Linked DNA regions of Cricetulus griseus. The protein of the gene in region 1 interacts with the protein of each later gene in a pairwise test. Links are inferred from orthologs where the notes say so. Each region holds a gene or a part of one and is shown in the gene's direction. Other genes may lie near its edges.

Region 1 (5,942 bases):
GATGATGGCTGGGTTTGGGGTTTTGGTTTTTTTAAAAGCTATGAATAGAAAGGATGTCAGGGTCCCACTTTGCTGCTGTGGTCCAGCCCCCATGGGCCAACCAGAAATGGCCCCTCATGCTGGCCTTGCCCCTTCTGCCTTACAGGGACGACAGAAGTTGGCTCGGTTTAATGCCCGCGAGTTCGCCACCTTGATCATCGACATTCTCAGTGAGGCCAAACGGAGGCAGCAGGGCAAGAGCCTGAGCAGCCCCACAGGTGAGCCCCACATGAGCAGGCCGCAGCACTGCTGCAGGCCTTGGAGCCACCTTTGCTTGGGATCTGGATAAACAATGGCTGAGCAAGCCCTGAGTGACAGATCTTGTGTCTTCAGACAACCTCGAGCTGTCTGCACAGAGCCAAAGTGACCTGGACGACCAACACGACTACGATAGTGTGGCTTCTGACGAAGACACAGACCAGGAGCCCTTGCCCAGCACAGGCGCCACTCGGAACAACCGTGCTAGGGTCTGAACACTGTCCCTGCTGTAGACCCAGCTCCCTGTTACACATAGCCCAGAGTCAGCCTCTGCCCGAGACTGACTGGCTTCTGTCTCTGCAGAGCATGGACTCCTCAGACCTGTCGGATGGGGCTGTGACACTGCAGGAGTACCTGGAGCTGAAGAAAGCTCTGGCCACCTCCGAGGCCAGAGTGGAGCAGCTCATGCAGGTCAACAGCAGCCTGAGTGATGAGCTCCGGAGGCTGCAGAGGGAGGTGAGCACTGTTGCTTGCGGGAGCAGGAGGAAAGCATCAGAGGCTCTGGGAGGAGAGGTCATCTCTTCCCAAAGGTGGTACCTACCCTGACCCAGAGTTGGATACCACTGTGTACACTCAGATCCACAAACTGCAGGCAGAGAACCTGCAGCTTCGGCAGCCGTCAGGGCCAACACCTACACCCCCACTTCCCAATGAACGGGCAGAACACGTACCCATGGGGCCCGCTGGAAGCACCCATCGCAGGGACCGCCAGGCCTTCTCCATGTATGAGCCGGGCTCTGCCCTGAAGCCCTTTGGAGGTGCACCTGGGGACGAGCTCACCACACGGCTCCAGCCTTTCCACAGCACTGTGAGAGTGGCCTGTGGGTCTTGGGTGGGAAAATAAGGGCCACACTAACACAGCTTGTCATAATACTCTGTGCTACCCCCCACAGGAGCTGGAAGATGATGCCATTTATTCGGTACATGTCCCTACTGGCCTTTATCGGGTAAGCAGGACTTGGGGGAGGAGGGTGAACCCTGCACCAGTGAGTCACTAGCGCCTGGTAGCTGTCAAGTTGGACCAGGACAGACACTGGACTACAGGTGGAGAATGACTCTAGCCCTGCTTTGGCTTTCAGATCCGGAAGGGGGTGTCTGCCTCTTCTGTGCCCTTCACTCCCTCCTCTCCACTGCTGTCGTGCTCTCCAGAAGGAAGTCGCCATACGGTAATTGTCATCCCAGTGCCCAGGGACAGACAGCATGTGGGCTACACAGGGGTTTGGGAGTTTACTCACCCACCGTCTTTCCCTATACCCTCCAGAGCAAGCTCTCACGCCATGGCAGTGGTGCAGACAGTGACTATGAGAACACACAGAGTGGGGACCCTCCACTTGGGTGAGACACCTGTGGGGCTCTACCCAGTCCCGCCAGCACCTGGAGGGAGGTGGTGCGGAGCCCGCCATGCAGGTGGCTGCAATGGCTCCTTTTCTCTTCCCACCTGGACCTAGACTTGAAGGGAAGCGATTCCTAGAGCTGGGCAAGGAGGATGAGCTCCACCCTGAGCTGGAGAGCCTGGAAGGAGACCTAGACCCTGGGCTCCCCAGCACAGAGGATGTCATTCTGAAGACAGAGCAGGTCACCAAGAACATTCAGGAACTATTGCGGGCAGCCCAGGAGTTCAAACATGACAGGTAGGATGGGCACAGGCTCCTGTTAACTTCTTGGTACTTGGATGGAGGGTTCATGCTAGGATCCTGACTAAGATTCTGAGAAACCCCTCATCCAACTCCTCCCCTCCTCTGACAGCTTTGTGCCCTGTTCGGAAAAGATCCATTTGGCTGTGACTGAGATGGCCTCTCTCTTCCCAAAGGTACAGGCGCCACAGAGAAGCAGAGTGGGAACCTTGGGGTGGGGCAGGTGCAAGTGACCTGGCTGCTGCCTGGGTGGAGGTGAGCACCCTGAGCCACAATCAGACACCTGGCTTAAAGTCCAAGGCTCTCAGCCTTTCCTCACCCCTCCCTCCAGAGGCCGGCCCTGGAGCCTGTGCGCAATTCATTGCGGCTGCTTAATGCCAGCGCCTACCGGCTGCAGAGTGAATGCCGGAAGACAGTGCCTCCAGAGCCTGGCGCCCCTGTGGACTTCCAGCTGCTGACTCAGCAGGTGATCCAATGCGCCTATGACATCGCCAAGGCAGCCAAGCAGCTGGTCACCATCACCACCCGAGAGAAGAAGCAGTGACCACTTTCCCTGCCCTTACCCACACCCTGGGACCTCACTGGCCATGGGAGCTGGGCCACTCCAGACACTAACCCACCCCCCAACAGAGCCACTGGCACAAGTGCCCTTAGTGCCGCCATTCTCCTCTGGTATCCAGGTGCCCTGGTGCCCACCCTCTCAAGAATGGGAATGTGAGGTGACAGGAGCTTCTGCCCCCCCACATTCCATGCCCATCACCCTGTACATAGCATCCCTACCCTTTTGATGTACAGGAGTCTCAAGGAACCCTCCCAGCCCCTCACCTTCCAGGGCACCCTCAGCAAAGAGTGGGACAGGGACACTCCAAATGGGGCAGCTCCGCCTACTGCACCCTATCCCCATGAGCCAGTTTAGCCCTAGGGGGGCTGAGCAGGGGCATCCCCCTCCTTTGTACATTATCTCTGGATGTCTCTGCCCTGTAGCCACCAGCCCCCTCTTGCTGCTCTTTCATGCCAAATGGCCCCTGCCTAGAGCACAGGCCCCAACGTGTGTGCCAGGGTCCCCAGCAGCAAACACTGGAAAGTCTTTCTTCTCCCCAACTTTGTGGTAACTAAGTGTCCCTGCGTGCCTGCAACTGCAATGTGAGCGGCAGTGCCGTTCCAGAGACCTGGCCCACCTGGAGCTCTGAGGGGCAAGGACCAGAGTCGTGGAATCAGCATTGGGGGTCAGTGTCCCTCTCCCCTACCTGGACAGGGGGACTGTCAGGGTTACCAGCTGTGGTCCAGTTGCTGCTCCTACTTGTGCCCCTCACTACAAACACAAGAAAAACCACTTCCCTCCATCTCTTCCCCCATCCCCTATGGGAAGTGTGCTGGCCAGGCAGAGTGCAGAGCTCCTGAGCCTGGGGCTGGCTCCCCAGGGCCCCCAACTCAGCTGGTGGCGGTAGAACTGAGCCCCTCTCCCTAACCTCTGCAAGGCCAGCACCCACATCACTACCTGCACCTACAGTGACCCACCCCCTGGAGGCCTGGGGATCTGGCTGCAGCTGGGAAGGTGGCAAGGCATTGACAGCACCCACCAGCTATTCTCCCCAACCACCTTCCCTTAGGTGGCCCAGCCCTACCTGTGGTGGTGGGTAGCTGTCAAGACGTGTGTCATGTACATTTGTATCAAAAATAAATAAGTGACCATGTGCCGCTGCTGATGTCTAGAGGTGGGGGCTGAGCCTAGCACAGTTATGTGTCACTTACCATTGTCACATTACCCCATCGGCAATCCTTGGAGGCTGAGGCAGGATAACAAGTTTCAGGCTGTCCTGAGCTACATTGATTAGGGATAAAGAAAGGCATGAATGTGTGTTTAGTGGGAAGTACCAGCACCTGATGTGATTCTAATAGCCAGGGAATGCTGGCTTCCCGGGAGCCAGCTTGACTCTGTAACTCTCCCGAGGGCAGATACACTCACCCTACTCCGAATTCTACTAAAATAATTTAATTAGAAACAGGAATTTGCATCGGGGAGGCTAAAAGGATACGCAAACCAAAAGAAGCCTCCAGGGCCTCTCCGTCTGCCGCCAGGGGGCGCCGGCGCACGGCCCACGTGGCAGCAGTCACAGAGGGGCGGAGCCGCTCAGTCCGAGCTCTCCGATTCAGGGCCGCTATCCGGTGTGGGCGGGAGCAGGGGCCGTCTGCGAGACCGCTTGATCCGGCGCGAGGGCAAGGGCAGTCTCCGTTTCAGCACAGCTGCAGGAAGGCAAGAGATAAGGGCAAGAATTCAAGAAGCTGGGGACTGGGCGGCGGGGGGGTCTTCTCACCTGCCACCGTGTCTTGGCTGTCTCCTGTGGGCCCCCAGTAGATGCTCTCACTCCTGCGGAAGTTCCGGTGCAATCGCGTGCAGAGCGTGGCCAGGGTGAGCAAGACCAGCAGGAAGGTCAAGGCCATGGCAGCCCAAGCGGCCTCTTCTGTGCGTGGAGTTGGGCCTCGGGCCACCCGGGGAGGCGCTGCTGCTCGAGGAGCTGGGGAAGCCTGGCCCAGGCAGGCACAACCCTCTGGATTGTCTTGCCCACTGGGCATCTGAGCCTCTGTCCTGGACCTATCATTGCCTCCAGGTCCCCCAGTCATCAAGGAGTCAGGGGCCACAGATGAGGTTCCCAAAATGGGCTGCTGGGCCTTCGGGCTCTGTGAAGAGGCCAAGGAAACCCTCAGGCCTGAGGGAGTAGACTGGAGACCAAGGGCAGCTCGGAGCCCTCTTCTCCTGACAACACTGAGAGAGCCTCTAGATGTCACCTCTACACCAGGAGGCCGCCAGCTTCGCAGAGCAAAGGCCAGAGTCGGAGCCTAACGGGAAGAGAAGCAGAGTCACCTTCTGCCCTGCTCTGCTCTGACCTAGTGCTCCCACCACCAAACCTGGGCTCAGCACCCCTCACCTCACCTGTACACACCGTCTCCCACACAGCTTCCCTCTGCTGGGGGCCGGCATCATGGGAGTGGGCCCAGAAAGGGTGTCAGAGAGAATCCACACACTCTTTCTCTGCTGCCGGCGCCGCCGCCTCTTCAACCAGTGAGCAGCCCAAGCTGGCTCTATCCATGCCATCTCCAGTGCAGTCCCCCATGCTGTCAGCACCAGGGGCTATGAAAGAAGGTAACTTAGGTCTAAGATGAAGGAAGCAGCCCTGAGTTTTCCTTCTCTGCCCAAGGGGCTGCAGCCTTCTGCAGAACAACTTTTTTTGGGGGGTGGTTGGGGGGTGAGGGCATGCTGAGACAGGACACTGTGTCCTGGAACTACATAGACCAGCAGGCCTCGAACTCAGAGATCTGCCTGCTTCTGCCTCCAGAGTGCTGAGATTAAAGATGTGAGCCACCAAGCCGGGCTTTTTTCTTTTTTTTTTTCCCTTACATTTTTGCTTTCTTTTTGTTTTGGGCACACCTTTCACGAACCACTTACCCGGTCCCAAGTGAGACTGGAGTCAGGAATGAGTGTGGGCTTGGCCACACACATATGGGCCAAGAGAGCAAGCTGGAGCTTCAGCCAGGGGTGGGCACATGGATGGTAAAGGAAGGCAACGCCATCAAGCTGAAGAAAAAGGTGAGATACCAAGTGAGGCTCAGCTCCCTCCCAGAGAATCCTAATTCCTCCTATCCTGGGAACCAGGATGAAGGAAGGGGTTATCAGAAGGTGTCCTTCCACTTGTGGGAAAGGAGAAGGGCTCTGGGTACTGATGTGCACTCCTTTTGAATTCACTTCTTCTTTCATCAAGTGCCACCCCTCAAAGCTGAGCTTCTGGGTAGGACAGCACAGCTAACTAGCCCTCTTAGAACATGCTCCCTTGCCCCCACCCATGGTGCTGGGGATCAATACTGGGGTCTTATTACCACTCATCTACAGTCTTCAGCTGTATTTCTCCAAGTGTGCAATAGTGGTTCTACCAGTATCCCTCAGATGAAGATCAAGTCCTCTGTTTGTTGATCTAATCCATGCAATCTCCCAGGAGCATCCAAACACAAAGGACT
Region 2 (6,406 bases), on another chromosome or scaffold:
CTGCATCGAAAAACAAGGTGGGTAGTGTGAGATGCTCAGTGGGTGAAGGCACCTTCCACCATGTCAGAGGACTCAAATTGAACACTGGAATCCACGTGTTGTCGAGAACTGACTCCCTAAATATCTTCCTGTGACTTTTACATGTGTGCCATGGTATATATGAGTATACATGCACACATTCACACATACACTCACAAATTTTTGTTTGTTTGTTTGTTTTTTGAGACAGGGTTTCTCTGTGTAGCTTTGGAGCCTATCCTGGCACTCACGATCAAGACCAGCCTGGCCTCGAACTCACAGAGATCAGCCTGCTTCTGCCTCCTGAGTGCTGGGATTAAAGGCGTGTGCCACCAACGCCCGGCAGATACACTCACAAATTAAATAATGTAATGAGGAATGTAATTTTAAAAAGAGTAAAACCGTAGTTTGCGATAGTTTGAAAGAAAATGGCCCCCAAAAGTAGTGGCAATATTAGGAGATGTGGCGTTGTTGGAGGTGTTGTTATTTTGTTTAAGTTTAAAAATATAAAAAGGGTGCAAGATGAGACGTGAGAACCAGAGATACATTAACCATAGAGTTTTATTCCAGTGGGGGAGGGGGAGAGCGGTAGAGAGAGGAAGGCAGGAAAGAGGTGAGAAAGAGAGCAAAGAGAAGAGGGCTTGAGAGTAGGAGAAGAGAGAGTAAGTGGCAGGGGTCTGTCTTTTAAAGGGTCCTTTACATCTGCGGGCAGACTTAGTTCCCATGGAACCCTGGGCTGACCAGGGTACTGCCTGAGTGGCTTCTGCCAGGTAACAGGGCCAGGCCAGCATAATGCCTGAACTTTTCAGGAGGAAGTGTGTCACTGTGAGGACAGTCTCTTTTGCTCAAGCTTCCCTCAGTGTGAGTCAGCCAACTTCCTGTTGCCTGAAAGACATAGCCTCTCAGTTCCAGTATCACAGCTGTCTGCACGCTGCCATGCTCCCTGTCATGATGATAATGGACTGAACCTCTGGAACTGTAAGCGAGCTACCTCAATTAAATGTTTTCTTTATAAGAGTTGCCATGGTCATGGTGTCTCTTCACAGCAATAAAAAACCCTAACTAAGACATAGTTATATATTAAAACATAAACGAAGTGGATCCCTTCTGAGGAATGATACCTGAGAATGACCTCAGTTCTACACACACACAAAGAGCTACTCACCCCAGAAAGGGAATCCATGACAGACCGAAGTTACGACTGCACCAACTTGGTGAACTAATGAGTTTTTGTTGGGGTTACTAACAGGAGTATGAGTGAAGGGTTACTTACAAGGAGCAGGGATGACTCAAAAACTACTGCGCCATTGGAAAATCCTACTGGGGGAAGTGAAGCCCTGGAGCTCTCTGGATAGCCTGTAGGCAGTTTCAAAGACTGAGAACCCTCTTCACATGGGGTTGTCACTCCTTTTTATACAGCTGGCAAGGACCTTTCTGTTTTCACAGACCTTTTGTTTTCCTCCAGAACCTCACAAACTTCCTCATTCCATCCCGTCAGGGATTCTGAGGAAAATACCATACAACAGTAATTATGGGGTGTTCCTCAAGATTTGAAAAGAAATGTACCAATAATTTGGTACTTGTAGAAGATAAGCTCACAGTGCTAAAAGGGACTAAGACAAGGTTTGTTCTGGAGCCATTTTGAGTGACCATGGCCCAGGAACACAGGTTTAGGTTGTCCTAAAATCCATGTTCTAAGGTGGAAACAGGTTTCACAAGGCTTTAGTTTTACAGAACAATGAAAGTCATAAATCAAGGCAAATTTACACTGGTGGATACACCAGAAAGTTACAATGAGATGGGGAAACATTTCTATAGGCCCAAGATGTTACTGAAGCTTTGGGGTTAGTGGAAGTTAGTGGTCTGCTAAGTAAACAGATTCTAAAAGGTCTTTTATCTATTATTCACAGCAAGATGTTAGTTCTGACAGAGATGGGCAAGGAGTAGCTGTTCTAGAAGTAGTCCAAGATAAGGTGATTAGCCACTAGACCTTCAGCATTCCAGTATCTCCATATTACTGTAGTACTGTAAATCAGTCTGCACACAAAGCTTCTTTGTTTTATTGGATTTATTTTTATTATTTTATGTATATGACTGTTTTGCGTGCATGTACGTCAGCGCATCACATTCGGGCCTGGTGCCCTTGGAGGTAGTAAGCCTCCATGTGGGTGCTGGGAATGGAACCCAGGTCCTATGTAACAAGAAGTGCTTTTAACCACTGAGCCAACACTCCAGCCCCTCCCCCTTTAATGTCTATTTTTTAGTACTTATGTTTTGTGTGTATGTGTGTACACCCACGCGCGCGTGCGCCCCGCCCCACCTCTGGGCTTTCTGCCCCGCCCCGCGGGGAGGGAGGGTTGTTCCATCCCTATCTCGCCGCGCATTCGTCTGGTTTCTCAGCGATGCACTCTGCTGGGTTCTCCGAAGCCTCCACGTTTGTTCCTGCGCTCTTTCTGTCCGGATCCTCTCAGAGTTGCAGGCCCAGATCCACGGAGTGCTCCCCGCCCCTCCCGGAGCGCTTGCCCCTGCTACTCCGCCTGCAGGGTCCGCGGCGCCTTCTGCGGAACTCCGGGCCATAGACGCATTTCCGGAGGACTGAGTTCACTGTTTTAGTCAGGACTTCCGGTCACCGCTACGGCGCATGGCGGTGAGCTTTGGAAGAAGGCGTTTGCGTGGCGAGGCCCTGGGTGTGGGGCCCCTGTGAATTTCCTCCTGTTCCACGTTTTTCAGGCGTTAGGGCGTCCTGCTCGGGAGGCACCAGCAGCCTCAAGCCGGAGAACTCAACGCGCTGCGCGCAGACCTCGGCTCCCCCGTCCTGCTTGCGGTGCCGCAGATCCGCCCCTTGTCAGTTTAGTGCAACCTGCTTGTGACTCTGCCACCAGAGCACATCCCACAGGCAACACTGTGTCGATGAAGCAAAAGAAGAAGAAAATCCCGAACAGGGTCTCTGGGACAAATGGAGACGGAAAGATCTCCGAGAAACCTGTCCTAGACGAAGCTCCCCCCAGTGCTGAAGCCCAGGTAAGGGTGGGATTCCCTGTGAGCTTTCTGGGTGCTAGCTAGTCCTCCTGAGAGTGTGGTCTAGTTGTGCGGAATTAAGGCACTGAAGGGATGGGACTGGCTGGGGTCTGCCGAGTCCTGATGCCTATGACAGCCATGACCTTCTTTCCACCCCAGGCGGAGCAACTGGCGAGGGAGCTGGCCTGGTGTGTGGAACAGCTAGAGCTGGGACTCAAGACGCAGAAACCCACCCCGAAGCAGAGTGAGAGCCCCTTCTTTATAGTTAGGGAAATGTAAATGGTGATAGTGCTGTAGCCTGATGGTATTGCCAGGGGATGGAATTGTTGCTTTTGTAGGGAGTATGTATGAAGTTACCAGCTCCTTATTTTTATCTGCAGAAGAGCAGGCTGTTGGGGCAATCCGAACCTTGCGCAGTGAAAAAACCCCCCTGCCCCGGAAGAGACAGCTGATGCGATCCTTGTTTGGGGACTACAGGGCTCAAATGGATGCCGAATGGCAGGAAGCCCTGAGGGCTCTAAGGACTGGTGAGGAACCGGGAAGTGATTGATTCAGTTTATGTACTTCAAAGAGGTAGGGAGAAGCTCAGCTCAGCAAGGTTGGTGCTGGAGGAAATGGGCACAGGGAAAACCCTAAGCAGGAAGAATGTATATACCTTTCTGGGCTCCTGGAATCAGGAGAACCCTGGTCCTCACCTTGTTCTGTTTTTGGGGTGGGAAAACCCAGCTCACCTGTCTAGGCCTTGGTTCACTCCACTGACCACAAAGCCAGGTACCATGGGTTCAAATCCTGGATCTGTTATTTAGATCTTAACAGTTTAGCTAGTTACTGGGTCTCTGAATCTCATCAGGGAATGACAATATCATCATTATAGGAACATTGTGGGGGCAATCATAACTGCATGGATATTGTTAACTGTTACTCAGTTCTGACTCTTCGCTCCACCTTCCTACAGCTACCCATTCAGCCCGAGTACAGCTTGTAGGAGAGACTGCCAGAAAGAAGAGTGGAAGGGTCTGTAGGCCTCGTCCAACAGGAAGAACCAAGGCCACTGTGGACTTTCCTGATGAAGAATTTCGGTTCAATTTCTTTTAGATTCTCCTACATTCTGGACTAGTCATCCTCCTCCAGGGTGGTGTGACCATTTGTCTTGAATATAGGGGTCTTTCTATGAACTCTTTTGGCAGAAGTAGGATTGCTTTGTCTCTAATTGGTTTGTGGACATGAAACTGCTGCCCCGGGTGAGACTGTCCTTGAACTTCTCAAGGAAATGTTCCTCCTGTCAGAAGAGAGGTGCTTTGGGAACTCCTCTGTGCTAAGCCTGAGTGTTGAGTGGATTGCAGGAATTGTGCTCCAGTCTCTGGGAATAACTGTTGGTGGTAAGGAACTGAAGAATCTGTGTACTTTTGAAAGGATCAACCTAATAAATATGTTTTTATTTTTTTAAAAAAATAGGTGATGAATGGAAGCTTGTGATGTCTATGGTGGATGGAGTTAGGTGGGGCAGGGACTGCCTTTACTTGGTACAGCTCTGATGTCAGGGTTTAGGTCTTTGTCCATGTTGTCTCTTTTTCTGAGGAGGTTGTCATCTTCAGAGAGCCAGTGTGGCCTCCATCAGGCCATCATTTGTTCTTGAGCTGCATGCTTTAACTTGAACTGTGTTTTAGCAGACTTGTGTCTTTTTTTAAAAAAAAACCTTTATTTATTTGTGTGAGTGTGTATGTGTGTGTATGAGCATGCTAGGCACATGTGTGTAGGTCAGAGGTTTAACCTCTCAAGGATTAATCTCAGCCTCTAGATTTGGTGGCAGTTGCCTTTACTCACTAAGCCATTTTGCCAGCCCACACACTGCCTCTTTATGGGTACTGAACCCTCTGCTATACTGAGTTGAGATTTTCAGGTGTTCACACCAATGTAATCTGGTGTTGCCCAAAGTCAAATCCCAGACTAGATATAATCTGGAGTCCAGCTGTATTCAACATTTTCTGTATGAATATTCTGTGAGCAGTTCAAACTCAGAATGTTGCAGAATACCTAATTAGGCCCTGGGTCTCCCTTTCCTTTTTAGTCAGTGATATTCACTGCCTTGTCTAGTTGGTTATTAGGCCAGAAACCTATGTCATTCTTGATTTCTCTCTTTTTCCAACACTATGTATTCAATACTTAGTGTTATCGTAGGTTTAGGAGACAGTATTAGTGTGTTAGGGTTTAGAGTTTGGGTTATGGTTGGAGGACTAGATGGGTTAAGGTGTTAAGGTTAGCTGAGGGTTAGGGGCTCTGGTCTGGTTCTGAGGTTAGGGTTATTGTGAATATTTATTTAAAAAAATATGTCCCTGTCTTTCCTCCTACTGGGTTGCCTCGTCCAGCCTTAATAAGAGAGGAGGTGCCTAGTCTATTACAACTTGATATTGTGGCTGGCTGATATACATGGGAGGCCTACCTTTTTCTGAAGAGAAATGGAAGAGAACTGGGGGTAAGGGAGAAGAGGGGAGACTGAGGGGAGGGACTAGAAGGAAAGGAGAAAGGGAAGGGATATGATTGGGCGGGAAAAAATTAATTTATTAAAAAACACTCATTAGTTTTTTGTTTGTTTATTTTTTTAGAGTTAGGGTTTCTCTGTATTGCCTTGGAACCTGTCCTGGAACTCGCACTGTAGACCAGGCCGGCCTCGAACTCACAGAGATCGCTTGCCTCTGCTTCCCGAGTGCTGGGATTAAAGGTGTGCACCACCACCACCACCACCACCACCACCACCACCACCACCCCTTGTTTTCTGAGACAGGGTTTCTCTGTGTAGACCAGGCTGGCCTCAAAAGAGAGCTGTCTGCCTGTCTCCCGAGTGCTGGGATTAAAGGCATGTGCCGCCACCACCACCTACCTGGCTATCATCTGTTCTTTTGTTCAGATACCATGGAGACCCCACTGGATGGACTCTTACTAGTCCACATTTACAAAGAGGGAGGCCAGTACAGAGGGAAATGGCCTCAATGCTCCTAAGTAAAGCTGTAATCAAGCAAGACCTTTGCTTCATTCTCAACTTGAAATTACTGATATAAAAGAATAAAAAGCCAGGCGGTGGTGGCCCATGCCTTTAATCCTAGCACTGGCAGGCAGATCTCTGTGAGTTTGAGGCCAGCCTGGTCTATAGAGCTAGTTCCAGGACAGCCAGAGCTGTTACAGACAGAAACCCTGTCTCCAAAAACAAAACAAAAACTACTCACCAAAGGCAACTTGGAGAGGAAAGAGTTTATTTGTCTTATATGTCCTGATCACTGTCCACCACTGAGAGAAGCCAAGTCAAGAACTGGAGGCTAGAACTCAAACTGGCCATGGTGGCAGTGGGCTGGGCATTCCACCTCAACCATTAATC
Region 3 (6,306 bases), on another chromosome or scaffold:
TAAGGAAAGGGTCCTACATGCTGGGAATGGCAGCCACTGTCCTTAGCGGTGTGTGGCACAAAAGCCTGGTCTACTCTGCAGCCTGGCTTCATTTGCCTTGCACTTGTGTGGTGTTAAGGGGTCAGCTGGCTGTAGAACTCTTCTCAGGGCAGTGTCCACTTCTGGCCTGGCCCCTCTACCAGTCTTCTGCTCATTTTCCAGTCACACCTCTTTTCTTTGGTGTCATCTGTGGCCCTTGGCTTTGGACTTTGCAGCACATTCTTCTACTGTCCCCAACTCTGTTGTCCTCTGTTCCCCTCTCTGACTTCCACTCTTCCCTCTCTGCCCTTCCCTGGTCCCATCCCACCCTGGGTCTGCCTGGCACAGGGCCGCCTGTCTGAAGAGATTGAGAAGCTGCGCCAAGAGGTGGATCAGCTGAAGGGTCGAGGGGGGCCGTTTGTGGATGGCATCCACTCCAGGTACTAGAGCGGGGGATGCGGTGCATGCTGGGCGATGGTCTTGGCTGGACCTTGTGAAAGGATATCCCCTCACCAAAACACTGCCCAGGACCTCAGGGCCTTCCTTCTATTCAGGATGGGAAACAGGGGCTCAGAGCGCTTGGCTAGTCCTTCAGCTCATGTGGCACTTAGGAAGGGAGCACATGTCCTCTAGGGGGCGCTGAAAGGCAAGGAATCAAAGGTTCTCCTCTGCTCTGGGAGTAGGCTATGCTTCCTGGCTCCTTGCCAGAGGACACACGCACGCCCACCCTTGAAGGGTCCGCTGAGTTACTTGCTCTCCCCTATCCCACAGGGCCTTCTGTAGAGTTCACCACTCATTGTAGTTCTTTTGAGGCACCATTTTTAGGATTGCTGTTTGAGAGCAGAAGGCCACCCACATTCAAGTAGGAGACAGTGGACAGAGAGACATCAGGGAGAATAAATTGGGACAGTAAATTGGGGCAGCAAATTCTCTTTCCTGTTGGAAGTTGAGGCGCTGTGTTACTCCTGTGGCCGTGGCATCCCTTTACCTGAAAACGTTGTAAGGCATGGTGAGTGGGGCTTGCAGCTGTACTTTGTGAAGCAGTTGGCATTGAACTCACTTCTCAGCTCAGCAAGGGAGCATGAGGAGCAAGATGACTGGATGCTACTGCTAAATGTTCTTGGCTCCTGGCTGTCTCTGTAAATCAGAGTCTCTTAGACATGCTGTTCCCTTCAGTCAGCGCTCTTGATGCCTCAGGGAAGTGGGCATTAGCCATTAGGAAGGTGGTTAAGGGAATATACACGCATGTGTGGATGGGCAGAGTGTTTCAGTGAGGGAAAAGGACGTTGGGTTGGAGGTGAGAGGCCTCTGGAGGCCTCTGAGGTGGTAGCCATGTAAGTTTGCCAAGAATTCTGCTCTTGTGTAAGGAGGGGGATGCAGAGAAGGGAGTTGGGATAGTTACAATTTCTCCTTTCCTGTTGATTGTCCAAATGGAACAAGCTCTCAGCGAATGAGCACACCAAGCCCTTTGCTACTGCTTGGTTTCCTTGCTGACTGGGAATTCTTGGCTTTGCCTGTAGAATCACTAGACTTTTCCCAGAACTGAGGTGGGGGAGCTGGCTAGGCACTCCCTCTTTCCAGGTACATGGCATAGATTGTAGGCTCTGTTGCTTCTCTGTACTGGGCTCCATCAAGGCTTCTGAGCTGAGAAGACAGAGTGGAAGTGTCACAGAGGAGGCTTCTAGATAACCCAGACACTGTTCCTGGGACCCTAAACTCTTGTGTCTGTATTTTACAAGTGGGGCAGCCAAAATGGATTCTCTAGCCTGTACCTGTGATGTAGCTTCAAGGTTCTCCAAATCTTCCTGGGGATGCGGATGACACATCTGGGTTGAATTTTAGCCAGGTGTTCAGTTCAGATTATCAGGAAACCTGGAGAGAGTTGCTAGTGCGAAGACCAAGAAGCAAAAACCTCCAGAGTTAAAGGCCCTTAGAGCTCATCTCTTTGGATTCCTCTTCTCCGCCCCTCCCCCCTCCTTCCCCCCAGGCCAAGAGCCCTCCTGTGTGGCTGCTGTCAAAAGCCTGAGGTCCTCCACTTGAATGTCACTCTGACAGGGAGCTCAACTTTTTGAAAGCATCCTAATCTCCTTGTCAGGAGAAGATCCTACTTATGCAAAATGGACCACTTCTCCCTACAGCTTTTCCCCTGGTCAATTTGGCCCCACAGCCCCAGAGCATAAGTAGAGCCTTGTGCCTCCATGGCAGCTCTTCTGATGTTTGGGACAGCTGTGTCCCAGATCGCTTCTCTCCAAACTGGCCATTCCCCAGTCGTTGGGCCCTCTAAGTGTAAGTTGGGGCCATCAGTCTTCAGAGCTTATCTTTTCCCTCCTGCCACTCAAGGTCACACGTGGGCAGCGCATCAGATGTGCGGTTCTCTCTGAGTACAGCCACACACGCACCCCCAGGTCTGCATCAGCGCTATACAGTACTGAGGGAAGATTCTGCCAAGGTAAGGGGTAGAGGGATGTGTGTGGGTCTCCCTGGGGAATTTGGGGTTAGTTTGGCCGTGTGTCTGGCTCCAGTTACACAGACGACTGGCGTGTGGTGCAAAGCCTTGCCCAACCTTCTCCCTTGTCAATGACAGCTGCAGCCTTGGAGTTGGGGCTCTTGTCAGCTGCAACAGCTGTCACCCCCCCTTGCCTCAGCCTCCTGGTGGGCAAGAGGTAGGGGTGGAAGAGGGCCAGTGGTCCCTGAGGCCCCACTACAGCATGTGTGCGTGTGCCTGGGTGTGCACCATTCATTTCTGGTGTCTAAGAGGGGGTTGCAGTGGTAAAATGGAATTAACAAGCTTCCTGGAACAAGATCATAGCTTATAGTGGAGAGGAGGGAGAGATGACAGATTAACTGGCCCTGGGGAATGGCACCTGAGAAGCAGCTGCCAGTTTCTGAGTTGCCCCAGGGAGATGGGTGGGCAGTGAGAAGAAAGCCACTGCCCTCCAGTAGTTAACCCTCATATGTTCTGGGGCTCTAGAAGCTGTGGATGGAGGAGGGGGGGGACACCTAGTCTGATGGGGGAAGATTTATGTTCACCTCTAAGTTTGATGTGTAGGTAGAAGGCTGAGGCAGGAGGACTGTGAGCCATTTGGAGCAACATGGCAAGTTCCCATTGAAAAGGAAGGAAGGAAGGAAGGATGGATGGAAGGAAGGAAGGAAGGGAGAATAAAAGAAAAAGCAAGCAAGCAGGCATGTAGCGGGTTCATGTAGACATGTAGGGAGGCGTGTATAGAGGCATGTAGGGAAGCAGAGAGGCATTAGGGAGGTAGGCAATCTGATCACAGTCTGAAGGCCTCTTCTTTTCTACCTCTCCCGACTTTACTCTGCTGTTCACAAGAACACAGCAACACCCAGGAGCTCCGTGCAAAGGCGACAGCATCTAACATAGCTGGGGGGGGGGGGCACTGAGGCCTTGGGTCAGAGTGAGTGTGTTAGAGCCCTTCTGGCCCATTTTTCAGCAGCCCACATTTTCTCATGGCTTCCAGAGATACTGATGCCATGGGATGAAGGTAGGCAGGTTCCTACTGCCCAGCTATCCAGGGATCTTACTGCTGCTCCTTTTGTTTGCTAAGGACTGGAAGCCATCACCACTGTCGGGGGTGTTGGCCGCCACCACCACCACCGCTGCCTTTGACAGTGACCCTGAGATCTCTGATGTGGATGAGGATGAGCCTGGGGGCTTGGTGGGCACTCAAGTTGATGTCATCTCACCTGGTGGCCACTCTGACGCCCAGACCCTGGCCATGATGCTGCAGGAGCAGCTGGATGCCATCAACCAGGAGATCAGGTGGGGTAAGGGTGAGGCTTGCAAAGTGCCTGGGAGGATGGGCCCTTTGTTTTGGGGCACACAGTGTAAGTATTGGCTCCCATCCCACCTTACAGCTTAGGACCACAGTCCAGGGATGCTTTGTGGCATCAAGCAAGGGTTTGGACTAATAGTGACCCCGGAGGGGCAGGGCTACAGATGACTCTAGGTGACATCTCTTCTCTCCAGGCCAGGAGTGGCTGGGCTCAGGAAGACGGAGCTGTCTTGTGCTCCTGGTAATCAGTTTGACTGTGACAAAGCCAGCTAAGGGTGGGAGCTTCGTCAGTGTTACGGTCAGCTGAGAGGGGTTGAGTGACTTGTTTCAAAGCCACATGTTAAGTAGATGAACCAGGATCCAGTCTCAGGCAGAAACTCCCCAGTGCCATGCCTTTCATCTCTAAGGAGACATCAGATAGAAACAGAGACAGGGAAAGCTGTCAAAACCCTGACCTTATCCTGCCTTTTTAGTGAGCTTATTTATGTCACTGTCATGCAGGGAGGTAAAGTTGACAGGCTGATGAGGTCAGGCTTTCAAATTTGAGAAGTCAGCATCAAGATACCCATGTCAATGCAAGACCCCCTGCGTTCAACTCTGTCGAGTAAAACTGTAGGGACAGCTGCCATTCATTGTCACAACCATCTTTCCCCCCCCTCAAAGAAAGGGCATTTAAACAGCTCCAGAGTGGGAAAGGTGTCCTCTCAGCGTGAGGACACGTCCTTCTCTTTGAAGCGTAGTCACCATCTTTCTACCAGTGTGTGTGAATGTGTGTGCACACCTCTCTCTGAGTGCCCCCAGGCACAACACACCATCTCCCCGTGTTTCTCATTCTCAGTGGAACAGAAGAAACCTCATTAGGGGATGGCATCAGTGAAAGAGAGAGAGAGAGAGAGAGAGAGAGAGACAGAGAGACAGAGAGAGAGAGAGAAGCTCTGTTTGGTCATCCCTGACAAAGATAAAGCCCAATAATGGTGTCTGTAGAGAAACTGAGATACAAGAGAGCAAAGCACCTGCTCAAGGTCACTGCTGTAGCTAGTGCAGGCCAGGGATTCCTACTGAGATGGCTTATAGTTCATTGGCACAGTGCCTCCTTCCCAGAAATGGCGTTTGTTCAGCTGGAAGGTTGTGCCTGTAGGTAGTGCCCACCTTTGGTACAAGGGCGGCAGCACCCAGCACCGCCTCCTGGGCTAATGGCCAGGTCTGGTTTGCTGCCCTGCAGGATGATCCAGGAGGAGAAAGAGTCCACTGAGCTTCGTGCTGAGGAAATTGAGACCCGTGTGACCAGTGGCAGCATGGAGGCCCTCAACCTGACACAGCTGCGCAAGCGCGGCTCTATCCCCACCTCTCTGACTGCCCTGTCCCTGGCCAGTGCATCTCCTCCACTCAGTGGCCGCTCCACACCCAAGCTCACTTCTCGGAGTGCTGCCCAGGATCTGGACCGAATGGGGGTCATGACCCTGGTGAGTCTGTGCACTGGTTGAGAGGCCCTGTGAACCCCAGGCCTGTGCTGGGGAGTTTACACGGGAGGCCTGATCTCTCTCCATCCCTCTGGCATCCTTTTCCAATGACACAACATACTAGGTCACCAGCATGCCTTTCTGGGTAGGAAAGGGTTTGTAACTTCTTCCCTGCTCCCTCCCTTGGATGATCACAGACGGTTAGAGCCATGCCCATTGTCCAGCTGCTCTCTCTTCTTCATAGGGAGCCATGATTTATCTTTCCAGGTTCTCCGTTTGCTGTGGTACATTTCCCAGGCTGGTATGAGTCCCTGACTCCTCTGCTGTCACCCTAAGCAGGCTCGCCCTTTCCTCTTTCTCTTTTTCAGCCCAGCGACCTCAGAAAACATAGGAGGAAGCTGCTGGTGAGTGCTTCCTGGCATCCAGGTACTAGCGGGTTACCGGCTCCCAGGCCCTCCCCTCTGGGCTGCTGCCCCCAGCCCTGGGGTCTGAGTTGACCTTGAGCAGCCACAGGGCCTCTCTGCTGCGTGCGCACTGTCTGGGCTGGGTAGGCAGGCCCCAGCTCTCTCCCTCTACCCCCTGACAACCCACTGTCTGTTCAGTCGCCAGTGTCTCGGGAAGAGAACCGAGAGGATAAAGCCACCATAAAATGTGAGACTTCTCCTCCTTCCTCACCCAGGACGCTGCGGCTAGAGAAGCTTGGCCACTCAGCCCTGAGTCAAGAAGAAGGCAAGAGGTAAATGGGTCAGGCTGCAGTTCTGATCTCTGTCCCACAGCCTCTGAGGGGCTGCATCTCACCTGCTGTAGGTGCTTGACTGCTTCATTTCTCTTTGGGACACCATCAGGTGTGGATGTTCCCACATCTCCCTTGGTCACCTGCTTTGGTCACACTCCCTCACCCCGCACCCCAGCGTTGATACTTAACCCCTTCCTGATCTCGGACTCCCATCTCTTACTGTAATTGAAGTATATCTCTTCTTATTCACTCCCTCCTGCCTGTCACACTGTAGTGCCTTGGAGGGTCAAGACAGCAA

Evidence for each region.
Region 2: the proteins of Git1 (region 1) and CUNH8orf33 interact in a two-hybrid assay, tested with the Homo sapiens proteins (2 studies listed by BioGRID and IntAct). The link is inferred for Cricetulus griseus from reciprocal best matches to the Homo sapiens genes GIT1 and C8orf33.
Region 3: the proteins of Git1 (region 1) and Ppfia4 interact in a two-hybrid assay, tested with the Homo sapiens proteins (2 studies listed by BioGRID). The link is inferred for Cricetulus griseus from reciprocal best matches to the Homo sapiens genes GIT1 and PPFIA4.

The regions. Positions count from the first base shown.
Region 1 is NC_048600.1:90,907,577-90,913,518, forward strand, and holds the end of Git1 (ARF GTPase-activating protein GIT1), read left to right. Parts: intron 1-145; coding exon 146-257; intron 258-372; coding exon 373-506; intron 507-600; coding exon 601-753; intron 754-874; coding exon 875-1,105; intron 1,106-1,190; coding exon 1,191-1,244; intron 1,245-1,376; coding exon 1,377-1,463; intron 1,464-1,558; coding exon 1,559-1,632; intron 1,633-1,745; coding exon 1,746-1,928; intron 1,929-2,043; coding exon 2,044-2,107; intron 2,108-2,262; coding exon 2,263-2,475; 3' UTR 2,476-3,625; downstream 3,626-5,942. Other genes in the region: Tp53i13 (tumor protein p53-inducible protein 13), read right to left, coding at 4,063-4,175, 4,247-4,769, 4,864-5,061, 5,377-5,505. UniProt on the Homo sapiens protein: GTPase-activating protein for ADP ribosylation factor family members, including ARF1.
Region 2 is NC_048595.1:374,228,190-374,234,595, forward strand, and holds CUNH8orf33 (UPF0488 protein C8orf33 homolog), read left to right. Parts: upstream 1-2,384; 5' UTR 2,385-2,659; coding exon 2,660-2,665; intron 2,666-2,748; coding exon 2,749-3,039; intron 3,040-3,195; coding exon 3,196-3,280; intron 3,281-3,416; coding exon 3,417-3,563; coding exon of another isoform or gene 3,564-3,586; exon of another isoform or gene 3,587-3,609; intron 3,610-3,991; coding exon 3,992-4,131; 3' UTR 4,132-4,746; downstream 4,747-6,406.
Region 3 is NC_048598.1:54,892,191-54,898,496, forward strand, and holds part of Ppfia4 (liprin-alpha-4), read left to right. Parts: intron 1-366; coding exon 367-458; intron 459-2,358; coding exon 2,359-2,467; intron 2,468-3,584; coding exon 3,585-3,799; intron 3,800-5,034; coding exon 5,035-5,275; intron 5,276-5,640; coding exon 5,641-5,676; intron 5,677-5,874; coding exon 5,875-6,008; intron 6,009-6,282; coding exon 6,283-6,306. UniProt on the Homo sapiens protein: May regulate the disassembly of focal adhesions. May localize receptor-like tyrosine phosphatases type 2A at specific sites on the plasma membrane, possibly regulating their interaction with the extracellular environment and their association with substrates.